3 linked regions of the Mus musculus genome follow. The protein of the gene in region 1 purifies or fractionates together with the protein of each later gene. This does not show direct contact. Links are inferred from orthologs where the notes say so. Each region holds a gene or a part of one and is shown in the gene's direction. Other genes may lie near its edges.

Region 1 (3,650 bases):
CTATGTTCTAGGGTAAAAAAGTATGTCATCACAATATACTTTACATACATAAAAACATTTTGAAACAGATTAAGTTGCAGTACTGAGAAATTAAACTAAAACATTATGGGACTAATTACACGTAAACACACAAGTCAGAGGACAACCTGTAGCAGTCGGTTCTCCTCTCTACCAGGGATCAAATTCTCTAAGGAAGTCCTCTTTGGAACTAACACCAAAAACTTGGTAGCTGTTCAAGTAAAACAAACCAGCCAGCATTGGGAGTCCAGTACCACCACCTCCACCTCCTCCTCCTCTTCCTCTTCCTCCTCCTCCTCCTCCTCCTCCTCCTTTTTCTTCTTTTTTTTTTTTTTTTTGGCTTTTCAAGACAGGGTTTCTCTGTGTAGCCCTGGCTGTCCTGGAGCTCACTCTGTAGACCAGGCTGGCCTCAAACTCAGAAATCCTCCTACCTCTGCCTCCCGAGTGCTGGGATTAAAGGCGTGCGACACCACACCTGGCTCCGTACCTCCCATTCTTAAGATGAGCTGAGTAAGAGACATCAGTGGGTCCAGTGACACTGCTCCCAACACAAATGGTCACTGCTGTGTAACTTAAAGTTAAACTCTAAGCAACTGACAAGCTTTTGTGTGCTTTTCTTTTTGTCTCTCCAGCTTTCTCAGCCAGCTGTGAGCATTGAAGGCCAGGTCTCAAACCCTCCATCTACTAGTAGCACCGAAGTGAATTCTCAGACCATTCCTGAGAAGCAGCCTTCACAGGAAGTGAAAATGGAGTCTAAAATGGAGGTGGATAAGCCAGAACCAGCAGATGCTCAACCTGAGGATACAAAGGAGGTGAGGTTCTTATGAAAGGAGACTGGAGGAGTGAGAGAGTAAATAAGCAAGGTGATAGTAATGGATTTACTCCCAGGGATCTGTCTGTAAAGTACTGAAAGTTCCTGTCTTGCCTTTCAGGCTAAAGGTGAGGATGTTAAAGTAGAACCTACAGAAATGGAGGAGAGAGGCCCTGAGTTAAAAACTGATGGGAAAGAGGAGGAAGAACAGCCAAGCACCTCTGCTACCCAGTCCTCCCCAGCTCCTGGACAGTCAAAGAAGAAGAGTAAGTAAAGGCTCAGGAGGTCACCCATTTGGTAAAATGCTTGTCCCACAAACACTCCAGGTCTGAATTTGTTTCCCACCAATTGTGTGCATGCTTCAGGTGTGTGAACATCTTTCTTTAATCCCAGTGCTTGGGAGCCAGAGGCAGAAAAATCTGAATTCAAGGCTAGCCTTGTTTACTACTTAGCAAATTCCAGATAAAGCTGAGGTTGACAGTGAGACCCTGTCTTATAGCTGAGCATTGGTGGTACCCTTGTAATTTGACAACTGGTGAAGTAGAGACAGGAGGATCCCTGGAACTTGCTGGTTGGTGAGTCTAGGCCCTAACACTACTAAGACTCCAATTTGGCAGGTGTTGGGGATAGAGGATGGAGAGAGGTAAGAGGGCTTAACTGCTTTTACAGAGGATGCAGACTGGACTCGAAGCAGCTCCCTGGAACTCCAATTCCAGGGACCAAACACCCACTTTTGTCGTCAGGCTTTAGTACATAAATTCACACAAACCTAGAAATACATAAAATGAAGTATTAAATGTGGAAAACAAGATTATTTACCTGAATGGAAACACTCATCTAATGTTGACCCTTCGTCTACAAACAGAGAGACACAGACATACATTACGCAAATGGCAGCCATGCTGGAAAGACTCCTGCAAATTGTTGTTTAAACGCTCCAAATGCATTTGTGCACAGGTACACAAATGCTCACAGATAAATTAAATTAAAAAATTTTAATTATCAATCTCTTATTTCTTGAACTCTTCATAGCTTGCATTCCATAACAGAACCTTAATGTCTCTATATCCCACAAACTTACCTCAAACATCTTCCTGCATTATTGTGCCTGGTGTTAGAAGTGCTGCCATGTGCAGCTACCCCAGTTCAAAGAGGACATTGCCAGCTCCGCTTGACAGAACCCACCCCTCTTTCCACACACAGCTTTTGGACTGTTTCTTTGCGAAGTCTCTTCTGTGTTTTTAGGAGCCTTTGATTTCTGTTTCTATTTGGCCAAGTTCATTCTCAATAAACCTGCAGCAGGAAAAGTAACTCATCTATGAGGGATGGAATAGCTCTGTTGTTTTACAGGAAGTAGTTAAATCAGAGTGGGAATTAAAAATAGCAAGTGAGCCCTTAGTCAGGGTTCTCTGAGGACCATGTCACCTCAGTGTCTCGGATACTTGAGATGCTTTTAGAACTTTGAACATGCATGTCTTTAACATCCCTTTGCTCAGTCAGTAATTAATTTCAATGGACTCTCCCTAAAGTTTTCAAACCAGAGGAATTACGACAGGCTCTGATGCCAACATTGGAGGCACTTTACCGGCAGGACCCAGAATCTCTTCCCTTTCGTCAGCCTGTGGACCCGCAGCTTCTAGGAATCCCTGTAAGTATTTGGTATTTTTCTATTTTCTTTTAGATAGAGAAACAACTTTATTAACATGATTGCTGTTACAGAAGTTAACCTATGTACAGTGTACAAGTTTTAGCATTTTCATTGTTATATAGCTATCACCATGGTTTTAATTCATTTTCATAACCTCCCCCAATAAACCCCACGTCCATTAAAATTGCTAGTTGCAGCACTCTTACTTTCCCAGCCTTAGGACTGCCTAACTCCTGGATTCTTCTAGTTTGAATCACACTCAGTGTGGAATGAAAGCTTAGCAAGTGCTTTGCACTGACCCCTGGTCACCAGTACAGCCTTTGAGGTTCTTCCATGTTATGTGACTGTGTCACCCAGTGCTTCCTTTAAATCATTTAGTATTCAGTTATGTTGATATTACTGCATTTTGTGTATGTATTTAATTGGGAAGTTATTTGCAGTTTTGGGCTATTGAGACTATGGCTGCTGTGAAGGTCGGTGTACAAGTACTGCTTTGCCTATTATTGGTTAAGATTTTGAGAGATTCTCTCTTTATATCTCATGTTATCCTTGAACTTGTAGGTCCTGCCTTGGCCTTCATGTACTGATACTTCAGGAGTGTGTACATTTTTATGTGTTACAGATTGATTTTTCTCTCTGGTATGTTAGAGGTCAATAATTCACTATCATCTCAACAGCTATAGATCACAGCAGAAAGATGAGTCCCTTGGTTCTGAAGATTTATGTGTATGATCTCTCTCTCTCTCTCTCTCTCTCTCTCTCTCTCTCTCTCTCTCTCTCTGTGTGTGTGTGTGTGTGTGTGTGTGTGTGTGTGTTGGTGTGTTGGTGTGTATTTTGGGTGCCAGGTTCCTCTGCCGAAAGAGAGTGGTAAGTCCCCATAGAAGTGGAGTTGAAGATGGTTGTGATCTATCATGTAGGTGCATAAAGCTGAACCTGTAGCCTCTATAAGAGCAGCAAATGCTTTTTAACTGCTGAGCCAGGGTCTCTTCCTCTATTTCAACCCTCAAGTTTGGGGTTTTATTTTTGTTTTGTTTTTTTTTTTGATATGAGGGTTGGGTTAGGGTGTGTATGTGTCCCTGGTTAGCCTGAGATTGACTCTGTAGACCAGACTATCTTCAAACTCATGGTCATCTACTTGCTTTCCCAAAGTTAGCTTTGAAATGTTTGAACATT
Region 2 (3,650 bases), on another chromosome or scaffold:
GGGCACCACAGTAAGAATCAGTGGGTGGGAACTTGGCATGGTGACTGAGGCAGGTGGGTGAGTTAGAGGCCAGTCTGGTATACAAAGCAAGCTCCAGGTTAGCTGGGGCTACATACTTAGATATTGTCTCAACAAATAGAAAAGAATCACTGATGCCAGGCGTGGTGGCGCACGCCTTTAATCCCAGCACTCGGGAGGCAGAGGCAGGCGAATTTCTGAGTTTGAGGCCAGCCTGGTCTACAAAGTGAGTTCCAGGACAGCCAGGGCTACACAGAGAAACCCTGTCTCGAAAAAACAAACAAACAAAAAAGAATAACTGCAAGAACACGTGGGGATGGGGAGAGTAGTGGTCCTATGAGTGCTTTAGGCAAAGGCCAGAAAACCTTTGACCTCTTCTTCCATGGAGACACTCAAATGCGTAGGAGCACCTGCTAAGTATTGGGAAGCCAGGATGGTTGGGCGGGGTTTCACTGAAGAGGTCAGGTAGAAACAGTTGGCTGTCTGCAGGAGACAGAGGACAGAATTGCACTGTTGATTTCTCTTTTTCATATGTCATTCCTCTAGGAGCCACACTCAAGAGGTCATTTATCCAGACCTGAAGCCCAAAGTCTCTCCCCCTATACAACCAGTGCTAACCGGGCCAAGTTGCTGGCTAAGAACAGGCAAACTTTCTTGCTCCAGACCACAAAGCTAACTCGTCTAGCCAGACGAATGTGCCGAGATCTATTACAGCCAAGGAGGGCTGCCCGAAGACCCTATGCACCTATCAATGCCAATGCCATCAAGGCAGAGTGTAAGGACTGGAGTACTAGCAATGAGTCCAAAGTTGCTCTGGCCAGAGCCCAGTGACTGTAGGGATACTAGGCCACAGCGGGTGTTTAGAGATCTTGGCCACAGAAGAGAACAGTGAAGTTCCTTCAGAAACTTTGATTTGCCATGTCTGGTGGTGCATGCCTAGAATGTAAGCCCTCAGGCTGAGACAGGATATAGCTACCTAGGTCCTATTAGACTGGGCTATGTAATGAGCTCTGGGCTAGCCTGGATTACTTACTAGGACCCAGTCTCAAAAACCAAGGCTAGGCATGCGTATAACCCAAGCATTGGAGGGGTGGAGTCAGGACAATAATAGTTCTAGGCCAGCTGGTACTTCACAGTAGGACCATTTCAAAACACCAAAACAAAACTGCAGAGTACCCAGGGGCTCCCCTCTCACTGCAGAGTACCCAGGGGCTCCCCTCTCACTGCAGAGTACCCAGGGGCTCCCCTCTCACTGCAGAGTGCCTAGAGGCTTCCCCTTACTGCAGAGTACCCAGGGGCTCCCCTCTCACTGCAGAGTACCCAGGGGCTCCCCTCTCACTGCAGAGTACCCAGGGGCTCCCCTCTCACTGCAGAGTACCCAGGGGCTCCCCTCTCACTGCAGAGTACCCAGGGGCTCTCCTCTCACTGCAGAGTACTCAGGGGCTCCCCTCTCACTGCAGAGTACCCAGGGGCTCCCCTCTCACTGCAGAGTACCCAGGGGTTCCCCTCTCACTGCAGAGGACCCAGGGGTTCCCCTCTCACTGCAGAGGACCCAGGGGTTCCCCTCTCACTGCAGAGTACCCAGGGGTTCCCCTCTCACTGCAGAGTACCCAGGGGCTCCCCTCTCACTGCAGAGTACCCAGGGGCTCCCCTCTCACTGCAGAGTACTCAGGGGCTCCCCTCTCACTGCAGAGGACCCAGGGGTTCCCCTCTCACTGCAGAGTACCCAGGGGTTCCCCTCTCACTGCAGAGTACCCAGGGGTTCCCCTCTCACTGCAGAGTACCCAGGGGTTCCCTTCTCACTGCAGAGTACCCAGGGGCTCCCCTCTCACTGCAGAGTACCCAGGGGTTCCCCTCTCACTGCAGAGTACCCAGAGCCTTCCTCTCTTCTCCAGGCTCGATCCGACTTCCTAAGGCTGCCAAGACGCCACTGAAAATTCACCCTCTGGTGCGGCTGCCCTTGGCAACTATCGTCAAAGATCTGGGTATGAGATGGGGAACTACACCCAATCCAGGGTGGGTGGAAGGTGGAGAGACAGTTGGGGTGGTGCCAGCCTCTCTAAGAGTCTTTTCTTCAGTCAGGCTGACAGCTAAATTTTACTATCTTAAGTCTTCTTCCCCAGAGTTTTTCTTTGACACTGAGTCCACACAACTTAGAGCTTTTGTGTGTGCTTATTATTATGATGATCCTTCTTGTTATTGTTTTTTGTGGTGGTGCTGTAGATCAAAACCCAGAACCTCATATGTTCTGGTTTAGTGGTTTACCGTTGAGCTCCATCTCTGGCACAGAAGTGGCTTTATATACGTATTTTCTGATCTGAAAGCATAATGTGTTTTTAAATAAGGTTAAGTAGCTTGATAGGCCATTTTCTCCATTATTAATCTTTAGGCCATTAGAGTAAACAACTGGTCAGGGTAGAGAGGGAGGAAAGAATGGTAATGAAACTACATAGGCAAGGAAAGTGGGAACATTTTCTATTTCATCCCCCTTCTCCCTCTACTGACAGTGGCTCAGGCACCTCTGAAACCAAAAACACCTCGGGGTACCAAGACACCAATCAACAGAAACCAGCTGACCCAGAATCGAGGCCTGGGGGGCATTATGGTGAAACGTTCCTATGAGACTGTGAGTTGACAGAGTGGGTTGGGAAAGCTGAACAGGGTGGGCTTTTGTTTCTAATAGGAGTCTAAGGAAGGTAGTTCCTTCATTATGTACCCCATCCTTTTCCAGATGGCAGGGGCAGGGGTCCCCTTCTCTGCCAATGGAAGGCCTCTGGCTTCAGGGATTCGTTCAAGCTCACAGCCAGCAGCCAAGCGTCAGAAACTAAACCCTGCTGATGCTCCCAATCCAGTGGTATTTGTGGCCACAAAGGACACCAGGTAGGGAGGGAGTCCACCATGAGGGGCTGAGAGGCTGGCAATCCAAGTTGTCCAGCATTGGAAGTAGGCGTATCTGAGAAAGATAGGTGCACAAGAGAATGTGGGTACCAGAGGGTAGAACTGTAGAGGGCGTTGTGGAGCTGAACCTGGTTGAGTCTTGATGCTCATCAAGCTTTCCTGTTTCTGTCTTGCTCTTTTTGGCCAGGGCTTTAAGGAAAGCTCTAACTCACCTGGAAATGCGCCGAGCGGCCCGAAGGCCCAACCTACCCCTGAAGGTGAAACCAACGCTGATGACAGTGCGGCCCCCAGTTCCTCTGCCCGCTTCTTCACATCCTGCCAGCACCAATGAGCCCATTGTCCTGGAGGATTGAGCATCTTAGGGGAAGGGAGGTGGGATGAGAGGTAGAGGGGTGGGTGCCCAGGACATACAAATCTTCATTCCTTTTGGTATCAAAGGGAGTAAGGAGTGAGGGAGGGTTGACCCTGGTGTGTGTGTGTCCTTGCAGGGGTTGGACACCCTCTGGTGTTAGTTACTGCCTGTAACTGCCAGTAACGTCCCTTTTTGGGCTTCACAGCCTATAGGAACTTGCCTGTGTGTGTACCTACCCTATTTGGGGCCTGGGACCCACAGGTGGTTTGGACAGTTGGGGGGGAGGGTTTTTTAATTTTTTAAAAATGAACCTCCCTTTGTAAAAGGGATGGAGGAGGGGAAGAGTAAACATATCAGGTGTTAGTCCCTGGCAGGGGAAGGG
Region 3 (3,750 bases), on another chromosome or scaffold:
AAGGAGGTCGTAGGAATGTTGCTGATCATAAGAAAGGAGCAAAGAAGGCTAGGATTGAAGAAGACAAGAAGGAGACAGAGGACAAGAAGACAGGTCGGTTTATGTTTTGGTGACCATTTCACTTTCCCTACTTAAGGGTTGCACTGTGTCTCTTAGCGATCCTGCAGTCACACGTCTCACTTTAGGCAGGTAACTTTTCCTGGTGTAAGAGATAGTTAGTTACCGCTCATGCTTACTGTTTAGTGCTTCAGAGCTGACTTAAAGGTTTTACAGTTGTGCTCAAATTTTCTTTGTGGTATAGAAACCTTCCTTTTAATAACATAGTAGTAAACGTTACATGTCATGGGATGGGGTTAAGGGGATGACAGTAGTTACAGATGTTGGGCCTCAGAACATTTACTGTAGCTTAGGTGGACTTAGACTCAGTGCTCTTCTGCCTTGTCCTCTTATATACTGGGATTGAAGGCATGCCAGTACACCTGGCTAAAATTCTAAATAATTTATACTGGTTAAAGCTGACTTCATGTAGCAAAAGTTAAGCTACATAGTCCTTTGAAAAGTTACTTTAAGAGTGAAGACTCTTTAGGAACTGAAGAAACTAAAACTGAGGAAAGATAGGAAGGGGCAGTTTCTGGTGTCTTCCGGTATTTCATTCAGAGTGTTTATTTAGCATGCCATTACAGCACCTCGTTAGCACTCTCAGGTTTCTCATTGCTATGCTGAACTGTGCAGGGGTAAGGAGTGGGCAGTAGCCTCTTTAAACATGATAATGCTGCAAGTTTTAGTTGACCTACTAGTCAAGTGAGGCTGCCTGGCTTTACTAGGCCTCACTATATAGACATGGCTGCTCCGGCTACTTACTGGGTGGCCTTGGATTCACACCATTGTCCTTTCTCAGATGCCTGGGTGCTGGGATTACAGAAATGTGCCACCACCTCCAACTCAGTTTCTTTCTATTTTAAAATATCTTCTGCATTTTCTTTTTTTTTTCCAAATAGGAAAGTGATAAAGTAAATTGACTCTTGGTATTTTAGACAAAATACCACAATAATCTATGGGTCATAACCTCAAATAAGACCCACCACCACCCCCTCTTGGCACTGAGTAAAAATTTAGCCAGAATTATCCAAGACACTAAAATGTGAAATCTCCATTGTCGGCATGTAGATTTGTATGGGAGGTGACAGCAGTGCCCTGCAGTGTCTGCATTGCCCAAGCGTGCTGCTGTCCCTGCACCTCTCCATGAGGCCATTGCTTCATAACTAATTTACACAGAGAAAATACTCTGGCTAATCTGGGACATTTACTTTAATTACTGTATTTAAGTTATGAAGTTCAGTTTAGTAGTAATTAAAAATTTAAGGTTAGAACAATGGGATATTGTGGGCCAGCAAGGTAAAGGTGCTTGCTGCCAAGCCTGATTACATATGATCTGCATGTTGGAGGAAGACTCCTGACTTCTACAAGCTGTCTTTTGACCTCCCTATGGAAGTCATGGTGTGGATGCCCAAACATACACACACACTCTGAATAAATAAATGTTAAAAACAAAAAACATAATCTAGCCTCTTGCCTTTAGGATCACGTCCTTCTTACAGTGCAGACACAGTTCTCTTGAGCTCCTTCTGTCTTACCACTGCTTCCGTGCCTCAGTCCTTTTACAGTTTTCCCTGGAAGATACCCTTTCCTCTTACCTGAGAGTTTGTTCATTCTTTGGGACCCACATTCTAGAGAACTGTGTCTGCACTGTAAGAAGGAAGTGATCCTAAAGGCAAGAAGCTAAATTATTTTTTTGTTTTTAACATTTATTATATATACACTATATACATACATATATATATTGTGTGTCTTATATTTCAAAATAGACATCAATATTTTTCTTCTGTCTTTAGATGTTAAGGAAGAAGACAAATCCAAGGACAATAGTGGTGAGAAAACAGACCCCAAAGGGTGAGCGATGCTTGTGTCTGTAGACGTCATGCATGTCTTGGGGGTTGGGCGGGGGCATGCATACTTGAGAAATACTGGCACAGCCTGAGAACATACAATGAGTGCAGGTCTGCGTGTGGGTAACGTGCTTAGGCTATTTGACCGGTAACTTTTATGTATGCAATCGTGTTTTTCATGATGCTCATATTACTGTGCTTAGAATACTTTGATGTTAGGAGACAGGCTAGTTTAAGGAAAAAACATTGGGCTAAGTGAAAGCCTATTGGAGAATTTTGTTATCAGAATGCATGTATGGCTAGGTAGGTGAAGTGTTGCGGTAAATCTCCAACCCAAATATGCCCTGGCAATGAAACACAACTCAATTAATATGAATACATGCTGTGTGCCTAGAATGGGCAGATCTACCGCTACACTACCATCGTCAACAACTGTGAGAGCCCTTAGAACTTGCAGTTTCTCCAGGCCACGTGCTTCTGCTCCACTTTTCTTCTTCCCCCTCCTCTGCATCCTCACCCTCCCCTATTTTCTCCTCTCTCTCCCCACCTTCTTCTCCACCTTCCCTTTATCTGCCCAATCATCAGCTCTCCTTTATTTTACAAATTAGGTGGGAAGCAGGTTTATGGGAAGTAAACCTGAGTGCTGACTCATTGCTTGTTTGTAGGCCCTCACTGGAGAAGGAAGTAGCATCAAATATAATAAGTAAGCCCCAGGGCTATCCACACCTGTGAAGAGGCTTGAGTCTATAATCTCAGTCCACTGGAGAGGCTGAGCCCAGAGGATTGCCATGAATTTAAATCCACACTAAGCTACATAGTGATTTTTAAATCGTCACTCTGGGCTGAAGAATGAGAGTCTGTGTTAGAAGCAAGCACGTGTGCTTGGTCACCCAGTTGTTTGCTAATTTTGAAGGATAACTTAGAATGCTCAGTTGTAAAACAACTGGAAAGATTAAGGCTTTTATTGCTCAGAAAAAAAAGAAAAAACAACAACAACAACAACAGTGAATAGCTTGGTGTGAATCTATAAGACTGTGCAAGTAGCCAGGTCAGTGCTCCTAAACCAAGACTATTACTTTTAATATTTCATGATCCTCTTTCAACAGAGCCAAGTCAGAACAACTCAGCAACCCTTGAATTTGACTCTCCAACTTTAGGAACCTCGAAAAGTGAGACGATTCTGGGATAAGAAACCTTCCCTGTTTGAGGACATTGGCTTCATTTTATACTGTTTTGGCATGGACTGTATTTATTTTCAAAATGGCTTGTTTTTGTTTTTCTTGGCAAGTTTTATTGTGAGTTTTTCTAATTATGAAGCAAATTTTTTTTTCCACCATGCTTTATGTGATTGTATTTAAATTGATGTGTTATTATGTCAAAAGCCGGATCTATTAAAGAAACAATTGGCCTTTCTGAGCTGATTTTTCCATCTTTTGTAATTATCTTTATTAAAAAATTGTACTTGGATCGTTTTCTGTCTGTTTATTATGAAAGCTTGTTTCCAAGTCAATGACTTGATGGTCTTAAGACTGGAACATACCAAAAGGAATGTCAGTGTCAGAGACCATCACTAGATCTACACAGTGCTTACTGGCTCTAACAGCTATTTCTTACTTCAGGAAAAATAACAGTGTCACTTTGTGTCAGGAAGACTGGTATTTCATAAATTATTTCCAAATTCATAATCTGTGCACTTGGGATGAAGCAATTATTTTTGAACTGAATCAAATACTCAGAAATTGGAAATTGTGAATTGAAAAAAGAAACCTGTCCAACCAATAACTGGCCCAACTTAAGACCCATC

The links.
Region 2: the proteins of Ep300 (region 1) and Mta2 purify together in Homo sapiens (affinity purification with mass spectrometry, with the first as the bait; 3 studies listed by BioGRID). This does not show direct contact. The link is inferred for Mus musculus from reciprocal best matches to the Homo sapiens genes EP300 and MTA2.
Region 3: the proteins of Ep300 (region 1) and Hdac2 purify together in Homo sapiens (affinity purification with mass spectrometry; 4 studies listed by BioGRID, with this or other methods). This does not show direct contact. The link is inferred for Mus musculus from reciprocal best matches to the Homo sapiens genes EP300 and HDAC2.

What each region holds. Positions count from the first base shown.
Region 1 is NC_000081.6:81,627,643-81,631,292, forward strand, and holds part of Ep300 (histone acetyltransferase p300), read left to right. Parts: intron 1-650; coding exon 651-830; intron 831-950; coding exon 951-1,095; intron 1,096-2,358; coding exon 2,359-2,477; intron 2,478-3,650. UniProt on the Homo sapiens protein: Functions as a histone acetyltransferase and regulates transcription via chromatin remodeling. Acetylates all four core histones in nucleosomes. Histone acetylation gives an epigenetic tag for transcriptional activation.
Region 2 is NC_000085.6:8,948,387-8,952,036, forward strand, and holds part of Mta2 (metastasis-associated protein MTA2), read left to right. Parts: coding exon 1-10; intron 11-564; coding exon 565-793; intron 794-1,913; coding exon 1,914-2,003; intron 2,004-2,525; coding exon 2,526-2,644; intron 2,645-2,749; coding exon 2,750-2,898; intron 2,899-3,103; coding exon 3,104-3,269; 3' UTR 3,270-3,650. UniProt on the Homo sapiens protein: May function as a transcriptional coregulator. Acts as a component of the histone deacetylase NuRD complex which participates in the remodeling of chromatin.
Region 3 is NC_000076.6:36,998,477-37,002,226, forward strand, and holds the end of Hdac2 (histone deacetylase 2), read left to right. Parts: coding exon 1-93; intron 94-1,892; coding exon 1,893-1,950; intron 1,951-3,052; coding exon 3,053-3,083; 3' UTR 3,084-3,412; downstream 3,413-3,750. UniProt on the Homo sapiens protein: Histone deacetylase that catalyzes the deacetylation of lysine residues on the N-terminal part of the core histones (H2A, H2B, H3 and H4).